Linked DNA regions of Oryzias latipes. The protein of the gene in region 1 purifies or fractionates together with the protein of each later gene. This does not show direct contact. Links are inferred from orthologs where the notes say so. Each region holds a gene or a part of one and is shown on either strand. Other genes may lie near its edges.

What was found. Proteins that work in one complex are often made in the same cells at the same time.
Region 2: the proteins of exoc3 (region 1) and exocyst complex component 6B purify together in Homo sapiens (affinity purification with mass spectrometry; 3 studies listed by BioGRID and IntAct, counting the BioPlex papers as one, with this or other methods). This does not show direct contact. The link is inferred for Oryzias latipes from reciprocal best matches to the Homo sapiens genes EXOC3 and EXOC6B.

The regions. Positions count from the first base shown.
Region 1 is NC_019875.2:4,994,535-4,998,739, reverse strand, and holds the start of exoc3 (exocyst complex component 3), read right to left. Parts: upstream 2,807-4,205; 5' UTR 2,675-2,806; intron 1-2,674. UniProt on the Homo sapiens protein: Component of the exocyst complex involved in the docking of exocytic vesicles with fusion sites on the plasma membrane.
Region 2 is NC_019876.2:5,494,212-5,498,508, reverse strand, and holds the start of exocyst complex component 6B, read left to right. Parts: upstream 1-1,492; 5' UTR 1,493-1,571; coding exon 1,572-1,660; intron 1,661-4,297. Other genes in the region: tkfc (triokinase/FMN cyclase), read right to left, coding at 1-184, 662-667. UniProt on the Homo sapiens protein: Component of the exocyst complex involved in the docking of exocytic vesicles with fusion sites on the plasma membrane.

The DNA.
Region 1 (4,205 bases):
AGAAATCATATACCATGTCTCTGACTTTAACATTACATCACCTGGCAGTAGTGGTGCTAAATAAACTCATCATCCTCTCCCTCCCTCTCACTCATGGTGCAGAAAGAATTAAATATAACAGTACAAATAACTAGACAATACACAGTAAAACAGCTAAACAACTAAACACATTTGGTCAAAAAACCACACTTAAACCCAAATCTGTACAGACAGGCAAAGGGAATGATATCCCACAATTCCTTGTGGTGCTGATCTAACAGCAGCACCAAAGTTACACCTACGTAACCCTTGTGCTATCCTAGGCACTTTAACATTGGGAGTTGGGTCATCTAGACCCACTAGACCAGGGGTGTCAAACTCATTTTCACCGAGGGCAACATCAGCATAGTGTCTGTCCTCAAAGGGCCAGATATAACTTATACATGCAACTAAATGTAATGAAAAATAAACGTAACTTCTCCTTAATGTCAAATCACTAATTTATTTATTTATTGTAACTTTTAAAGTGACAGTTACAGCTGCATAGAAAACACATGTTTGCGTGTTACTCTAGCATAAATCCTTTTAAATTTTTTCCTGTCAGGTTAGGTTATATTGACAGTGTTTAAGTCCTAATGTTTAGTTGCCCAATCCCATATTTCAAGTCCAATTCCCCCTAGATATGAATAAATACACACCAATTTTTATTTTAAGAAAATAAAAACTTTTATGCTCTCGCAGGCCACATAAAATGACATGGAGGGCCACATTTGGCCCGGGGGCCTTCAGTTTGAACACATGTGCACTAGACAGGGTTCCAGAGCAGCTGAATGCTCTGCCCCCCATGGTGACAAGGCGAGCAGTGGGGACATCCAGATGAAGGGAGGAGGAGGATCTGAGGGTACGGGTGGGAATGGAATACCCCCCCGGACTCTGACCTTAGGTCAACAAAAACATCAACACAAATAACCACAGACAAGAAGAAGGGGGCTCGTGTTTGCTAGGAGCTGGTGTGCTGCTTTTCTACCTGCCAAACTTGCTCCATCATATCTATCAGATCTTGTTCATGTGGCCATTCTCACCCGTACCCTCAGATCCTCCTCCTCCCTTCATCTGGATGTCCCCACTGCTCGCCTTGTCACTATGGGGGGCAGAGCATTCAGCTGCTCTGGAACCCTGTCTAGTGCACATGTGTTCAAACTGAAGGCCCCCGGGCCAAATGTGGCCCTCCATGTCAGCATTCAGCTGCTCTGCCCCCCGGCTCTGGAACTCTCTATCTCCGGACCTCAGAAACATTGGGTCTCTCTCACAATTCGCTAAAACACTGAAAACTCATCTTTTCCAACTCGCCTATCCCCCCCCCCCCCCCATAACTTCCTATTTCTGGCCTATTTATATGTATATTTTATTGTGCATTCGATTGCTGTTATTTTATTTTCACTTTTATGTACAGCGACCTTGGGTGTTCTTGAAAGGCGCCTAACAAATAAAATTTATTATTATTATTATTATTATTGTTATTATTAAATGGACACGCCATTCTGCTTCACCTCTCTGTAAACAAACTAACCTTCAACTAAACCTGCTCCAGAGACCTCTGAACATAACCTGGTCCGGAGCAGGTTTACTCATTATTATAACAATAAAAAGGACGGGGAAAAAATGCACGGCGTGCATAAATTGATTAAAAAAATTTCCGTCGTAGACGTTACAGTAATAACTGGTAGGGGTGCTATGTAAACTCATCATCTTCTCCGTTGCTCTCACTCATGGTGGAGAGACATAAGCTTAGTAGGACAAAATAACTCGGTAAAACACAGTAAAAAAGCTAAACAACTAAACACATTGGGTCAAAAAGCCACACTTAAACCCAAATCCGTCCAGACAGGCAAAGGGAATGATATCCCACAATCCCTTGCGGTGCCGATCTAACAGCAGCACCAAAGTTACACCTAATTAATTGAATTAATTTGAATGAAAGTAAAAATAACTGTCTGAAATCTACATGTTATTTTTAAGCTGACTTAACAAAAAAAGTATATATATTAATTAAATAATTAAGTTAGATCAACAATGTAAAAAAGTTTATTTTTCCAACATCCATACGTGGTCTCATCACCCTCTCATGGTGGAAAAAGTATTACTGAGCTTCTTCATCCACTAAATCATCTTCAAATGGACACGCCATGCTGCTTCACCTCTCTAAAAACAAACTAACCTTCAGGTAAACCTGCTCCAGACCAGGTTATGTTCAGAGCATGAGTTGCTATGGCAACTTCATATCCTGAAACATACCTCCATTTCTGGAACCGAAAGCTGAGGTTATCAACTTCCTTAGCCTCAAACTTACCGTGGTAACTCACATAACCAACCTGCTTTCTGGAATACCCCCCCGGACCCTGACCTTAGGTCAACAAAAACAACATCACAAATAACCACAGACAAGAAGGGGGCTCGTGTTTGCTAGGAGCTGGTGTGCTGCTTTTCTACCTGCCAAAATTGTTGCCAATTCCCTGACTCAGGTGAATTTCAACATTCGTGGTGGGAACTTCTGTTTGCTTAGATGTCTCTTCAGCAGCTGAGTGCTGCTGTGTTCGCGGCTCCGGGGTTGCAGCTAAGCTAACCGGGGCCGACAGCGGCCCCCACCGCCTGGCTCCCGCCAACAGGCCCACACACACGCCCCGCGCCGTCTTACCTCATACAGTCACGGAATCAACTGGAACTCTGGGTGCAAATCTAGGAAAAATAAAACAAATAAAGTCCGTTTAAACGTCCTTGCTATTGTGTGACGTCACTTCCGTATTTGCCTCCGAGAACCGCCTACTTTTTCTTCTTCGTCTCTTCTTTGCCGTATTTCGCGGGGTAACTGCGTCAGCACCGCCACCTGCTGGACATTCAGCATTAATGCACATACTCTGGAAGGATTTCATGTGACCATTTTACCAGTGGCGGTTCTACACTGACTTACTCCCCGGGCGAGTAACCCCCCCTCCCCCGCATACACAAATTTCACGATATCCTTCTGTCTCTATCTTTATCTACCTTTATTTAACATTTTACACAAAATGCCTGAATTTTATAATTAGTATTAAAGGGGTATCAAACTCAGTCACACAGGGGGCCTAAATTAAAAACACGCTTTAGGTTTTGGGTCAAACAAGATAAACATTTACTGAACACACTAAAGCTAAACTTTTAAACTTTTTAAACTTAACTTTTTGAACATAAATATGAATAAAACAGACAGGAATATTAATACAGAATAAATCAAGTTAAACCTAAAATGACGTATAATATTTTGCCCTCCAAAAAAATATATTCTGTCAAAATTATACAGTTATGAACATGCCGCAGAACAAAACAAACAAAGTCTGGAAACTTTAATGATAAATCAAATCATGCCGTTTTCTCTGCTCTTTTGTCGTTTTTTTTAGCGCTGGACTCCTGGCATCAAGGCCTGTTCACACCGGGACGAATTTCGCCGGCGATTTTCGCCGACGTTTAACCCCTCGTGACTAAACAAAGGGCACCAACGAGAGTGTGCACACCGATGTGAAAAAATGCCACGCGTTAAAGCGTCAAAAAAAAAACGCCTCGGGTTCGTTTTTTTTTTTCGACGCGTCGCGTCGAAATCTACTCGACCAATGAGAATGGCGCTTTTGCTCACGTGTCTGAAGTTAGAGTAAAACACAACTTGGGGGCGCTCAAACACAAAACTGCCTTGCTGAGCACACATACCAGCGAAGAAGATAGACGCCAAGTAGCGTCTACACTGCCGCGAAGAAATAATGACGGACATTCTAAAACATCCCCGAACCAAGCACCAGTTGGAGCTACTGGTGCTTGAAATATTCATGTTTTCTTTGTTTGATTCTGACAAGCGTGTAAATACTTGCTCTCTTCTTCTGAGTGAAAAGCGACTTTAAGAAGCGTAAAGCTGCGCAGCGCCACCTTGTGTACAGGAGTATTTCTGTTTACATTAAGCGCCATCTAATGTCAGGGAATGAAATTGCATGTTCACTCCACTCATCGTCATCGAAAATCGCCTGGGTGTGAACACAAAAAACGTGGCGAAAAACGCTGGCGAATAACGCCTGGCGAATATTCGTCCCGGTGTGTACGGGCCTTCATTTTTATCAATCAGCTAATTTCTTGGTGTGTGATGTCCTGTGTTGTGTCTTTGTGAAACAGATTAGAGGGATTAGTGTTTTTTTTTTTTTTTAAAA
Region 2 (4,297 bases), on another chromosome or scaffold:
GTGCGGGTTCGTGCCCCGACCCCCCTCCAGACACCAGGGCCACCTTCCCCCTCAGGCTCTGGAGGTCAGAGCGGACCACCACCCTGTGGCCCTTTAACAGGGACTGGCCCCCGGAGGCCCTGACCAGGCCGCAGAGAGCTTCATCCACACAGCTCTCCACTGAGTTGATCAGCTTCTTCTGCGGCTAAAAGAGGCAGGGAACACATTTATGATCAATAATGCTACTTCACCTTATTCTGTTTAATATAGAGTGACTTTATAATCTGTGGAATCACTAAAACCCACAAAGATTGACGTGGAGTTATTTGTTTCTAAAATGACGGAAGATTCACTTATGTCTATTGGGAGAAGAAAAGTTTAAAATTCTTGACAAAAATGGCTTAAATGCTAATCTCTACTCAATAGCAAAGATCAGACTAATCTTTGTAAACGATATTTTATGATACCGTTTAGGTAAATAACGTGAAATGTCCCTAAAACCCGTGAAAAAGGCTCTTAGCTAGACCTCGTTATCACTGCTCGGACTCTGAACCCTGAAGTGGGCGCGCGGCACTGCTAGCTTAACAGGGCTTTTAATACAACTTTATAATTTAAATAATCAATAAATGGGCGCATAGCTGATTGGAAGTTTTTGAAGATCAATAAAAAACACATGTTGTACCTCCATTGAAACTTTGGTTTGTCTCGTCCAGCGTCACAACAGCAACACGCCGATGCGCTAAGTTAGCTCTGGTTACGGCTAAACCGGAAGTGAGGTAAATTTATTACAAAATAAAACAGAAAAACCGGATGTTAGGTCTGTTTGTAACCAAATCAATCTTATAAGAATAAAAGTTGAAAGAAATGTTAAAACCTATTAAGTCCTTTAAAACCAGTTACTATTATTTTTTTAAAGGAAATGAGCCCTATTTCGATTTTTCTATGGGCTGATTTTTTACTTAAATAACCGAAGACACAAATAAGGTGTTGTAAGTAAAACATTAGAGATTATTTAGTAAAATGAATATCTCCCGTATTTCAAAATAATTTTGTAGTTCATAGGTAGACATCACTTTAAATTTATTAAAAACGTTTGGTGGCATTTAAAAATGTCGTTTTGATGCATTTACTTTATGTATTAATAAATGTGAGGTCATGTCAAATTTTATTTAGATATCTATTTATAGGAAAGTCTAGGGGCAATTCAATAGCTGAATTGAAAATTGCATTGTCATCTGTTGAAAATGTATAAGTTAAAAATTGTAAAGGTTTAAGTGAAGGTGTTGGTTTGATTACATAACCTGGAACAATTATTGAAATTAACCGCCTTTACAGTTTGCTTATTTGAAGTCACTTATTTGTTGTCAAATTAAATTAATAAACGTTAAATATGTCCTTAGTTACGAATACTGACTTTGTAAAAAGTTTTATTGGACAAAATGGCAAAAACTAAGGAAATCGCCGCTCACCTGGCCTACTCCGTAACAAAATCGAGCGAACTTTGTAGTTCCCTGCTGTGTGACGTAAGACGCGCAGCCCTCGCGCTCGGCTCAGATCGGCGCAGCTCTGAACTGTCCGGATCAACATGCAGGATGGCGAGTGTGGAGATAGCCGCCGAACACGAACGGATTCTGCGGGAAATTGAGAGCACAGACACGAACTGCATCGGACCGACCCTCCGGTGAGTCACCGCCTCGCCGTCCGCCGCTGGAAGGGAACCGACCCCGCGGTGTCGCTATGCGGGGGGAAGTTCGGCTAGCTCCAAAACTTTAATGTACATGCTTCCATTATCGGACAGCTATCCGGCTAACTTTAGCAAACACCAAAGCTAGCTAATTAAATCCCTCCAAACCGGCACCTAAACCTTTACAGGACCTTCCGACTGACTAATTGGACTCATGTTTTTAAACTGACACTTTTATTTAATTTTTGTTTTTAAACTCTAACGAAGTTATCTACAGGTATTCGAGCCGTTTTTGATCACTTAGCTGATTAAGCTAACTAATTTACATTTTTCCTCACTGTGTTTTCGGGGACCTCTCAATGGAGAACTGCTAGCCGAATAAAAACTACTTCCCGTTTTTTTTTTCTTGGCTCCAGAGTTAGTCATTGTACAAATGTGCTTTTATTTTAGAAAAGTTTATGTGGTCTTCTTAACGCAGGCTGTTGGCTTTGGTTGTGGTATCAGGGAGTGTCAAGTGCAGCAGCTTGACAAACCCTGACTGTGTCTGCCTGCTCTGCTGCATGACTGATATGTCAGACAGTCCTCTGTTATCTGTCCAGACTCCCACAGAGAAGACTCTCTCGTTCTGGATCATGTTGGATCTTTTAGGTCACAAATTCAGCGTCACAGTGGCATTCCTTCACCCTCATCTGAATCTGCTTCGGCTCTTTCTGTTTTTTTACACTTAACCAAAAGAAAGCCACATTCAACATTTGATCCGATTGCAGGACGAAATTTAGCTAATGTTGTAAAACTTCACATTTTTAAAAATGTTGTTTTTTTGTAAAGAATTTTGTTTGTTTTGGTAAAATGTTGGGCATCACCTGATCATAATACTACCACCACAGAAAGTGAATAGGTATGATAATAGGGAGATCTTTCTTTTCAATTTGACATGTTTGCATTGTTTTTAGAACTTTGTGCGTTCCAGGTCGTACCTATATTCTTGTTCGTAGATGTGTTCTTGGTTGTATGTGTGTTTCAGGTCGTACGTGTGTTCTTGTTCATACGTACGTTAATGTTCATGTATGTGGTCTTGGTTTTATGTGTGTTCCCATTCATACGTGGGTTCTTGTTCACATGTGCGTTCTTGCTGGTGTATGTGATCTTGGTTGTATGTGCGTTGTTGGTCGTCCGTTTGTTTTTGTTCTTGTGTTCTTAGAAGCGGTATTGGGTGTATATGTGTTCTTGTTCGTAGATGTCGTCTTGACTGTATATGTGTTCTTATGCATTCCTGTTCATGTGTGCATTCGTGTTGGTGTATGTGGTCTTGGCTGTACATGCGTTCTTATATATATGTTGTTCTCGTTCATGCGTGCATTCTTGATTGCAGCTGCGATCTTGGTTGTATGTGCGTTGTCGGTAGTACTTGTGTGTTCTCGGTCACATGTATGTTCTTGCTGTGAGCAGCATGATAGGTTTGTGCCTGTAAAATCAGATGCAAAGGTTTCTGTTTACCGACGGCGTCTCGGCGCTCTTGGCTGGCAGTGTTTGCGGCGATTGTCCGCAGAGGAAATGGGCAGTGAATGAAGAGGGGAAATGCAGCTGAGGAACAAGGCTATTCATGGCTTATCAAAGGTGTGTGTGTGTTTTTCTCCCCTTCCTCTGTGTGGAGTGTTTTCTGCTCATCCTGAGTCCCTCCAGCCGGACCCTTGGATTTTTATTTTTGTGTTAAATAGACTTTAAAACACCAAATTAATGCAGATGTGGCACTGATCTGATGGCCTTTGAATAGCTGTCATCAGTTCGGGTTGGCGGTCCATTTAGGCCATCCGGAGAGGCCGTGTGGGCCGATCCAATCTGACGGGGTTGTGCGACACCTCTGGGTGCCACATTCCTCTCCTGGGAATCGGTGTGTGGCGTTCCAGGCCTGACAGCAGTGTTTCTTAGTCATCTGCTCACACTCTGCTGTGGTTTTCATCTTTTCCAGCATCTCCTTCCTGTTCCACTCTCAGCTTTTCCACTCTTCCTCATAGGACCGGTTTTCCTCGCCATCCGCACCGTCACTGGCTAAATTTAGTCGGGAGTGAAGCACGAGAGAGTTTCAGAGGCAAACGCAGCTTTCACAGCTGAGTCGCTCCTCTGTAGATGTTTGTACAGCGCTAAAGGACAGTTTTTATTCATAAATAACACAATTGAGGATTGTATGTTTTTTGTCCTTGGCAAACGCTGTTATATCTTCCATAAATGTCTCTTTTCATCTCAGTTGTTTGTTGTTGTTGTTTTTTTTTGCATCTGTCAGATCTGCTGCTTCATGTCGGGCTTTGGTTTGAAGATTTTCCCGGTTCCAGCTTCCTCTTTGTTCTCGTAGCACCCATACAGGGGTTGACCCGCATGGGTGCTGTAGGTTTCAGGGTAGGCTGGGTCCATGGAGGGTCATAGTGAAGAGTAGGGCTGCACGATATGAGCAAAACTTGCGATGTGCGATATTAGTGATCAATATTGCGATAACGATATAATTTGCGGTATATAAACAAATGACAAAAAACAAATGACCCTCGTTGATGTAGGAGGCAAACATCTAACATGAAACGGCTCATCTGATTGGTCAACATCGGAAAGGGTCCATCCAATTGGTCAAATGCATAAATGGAT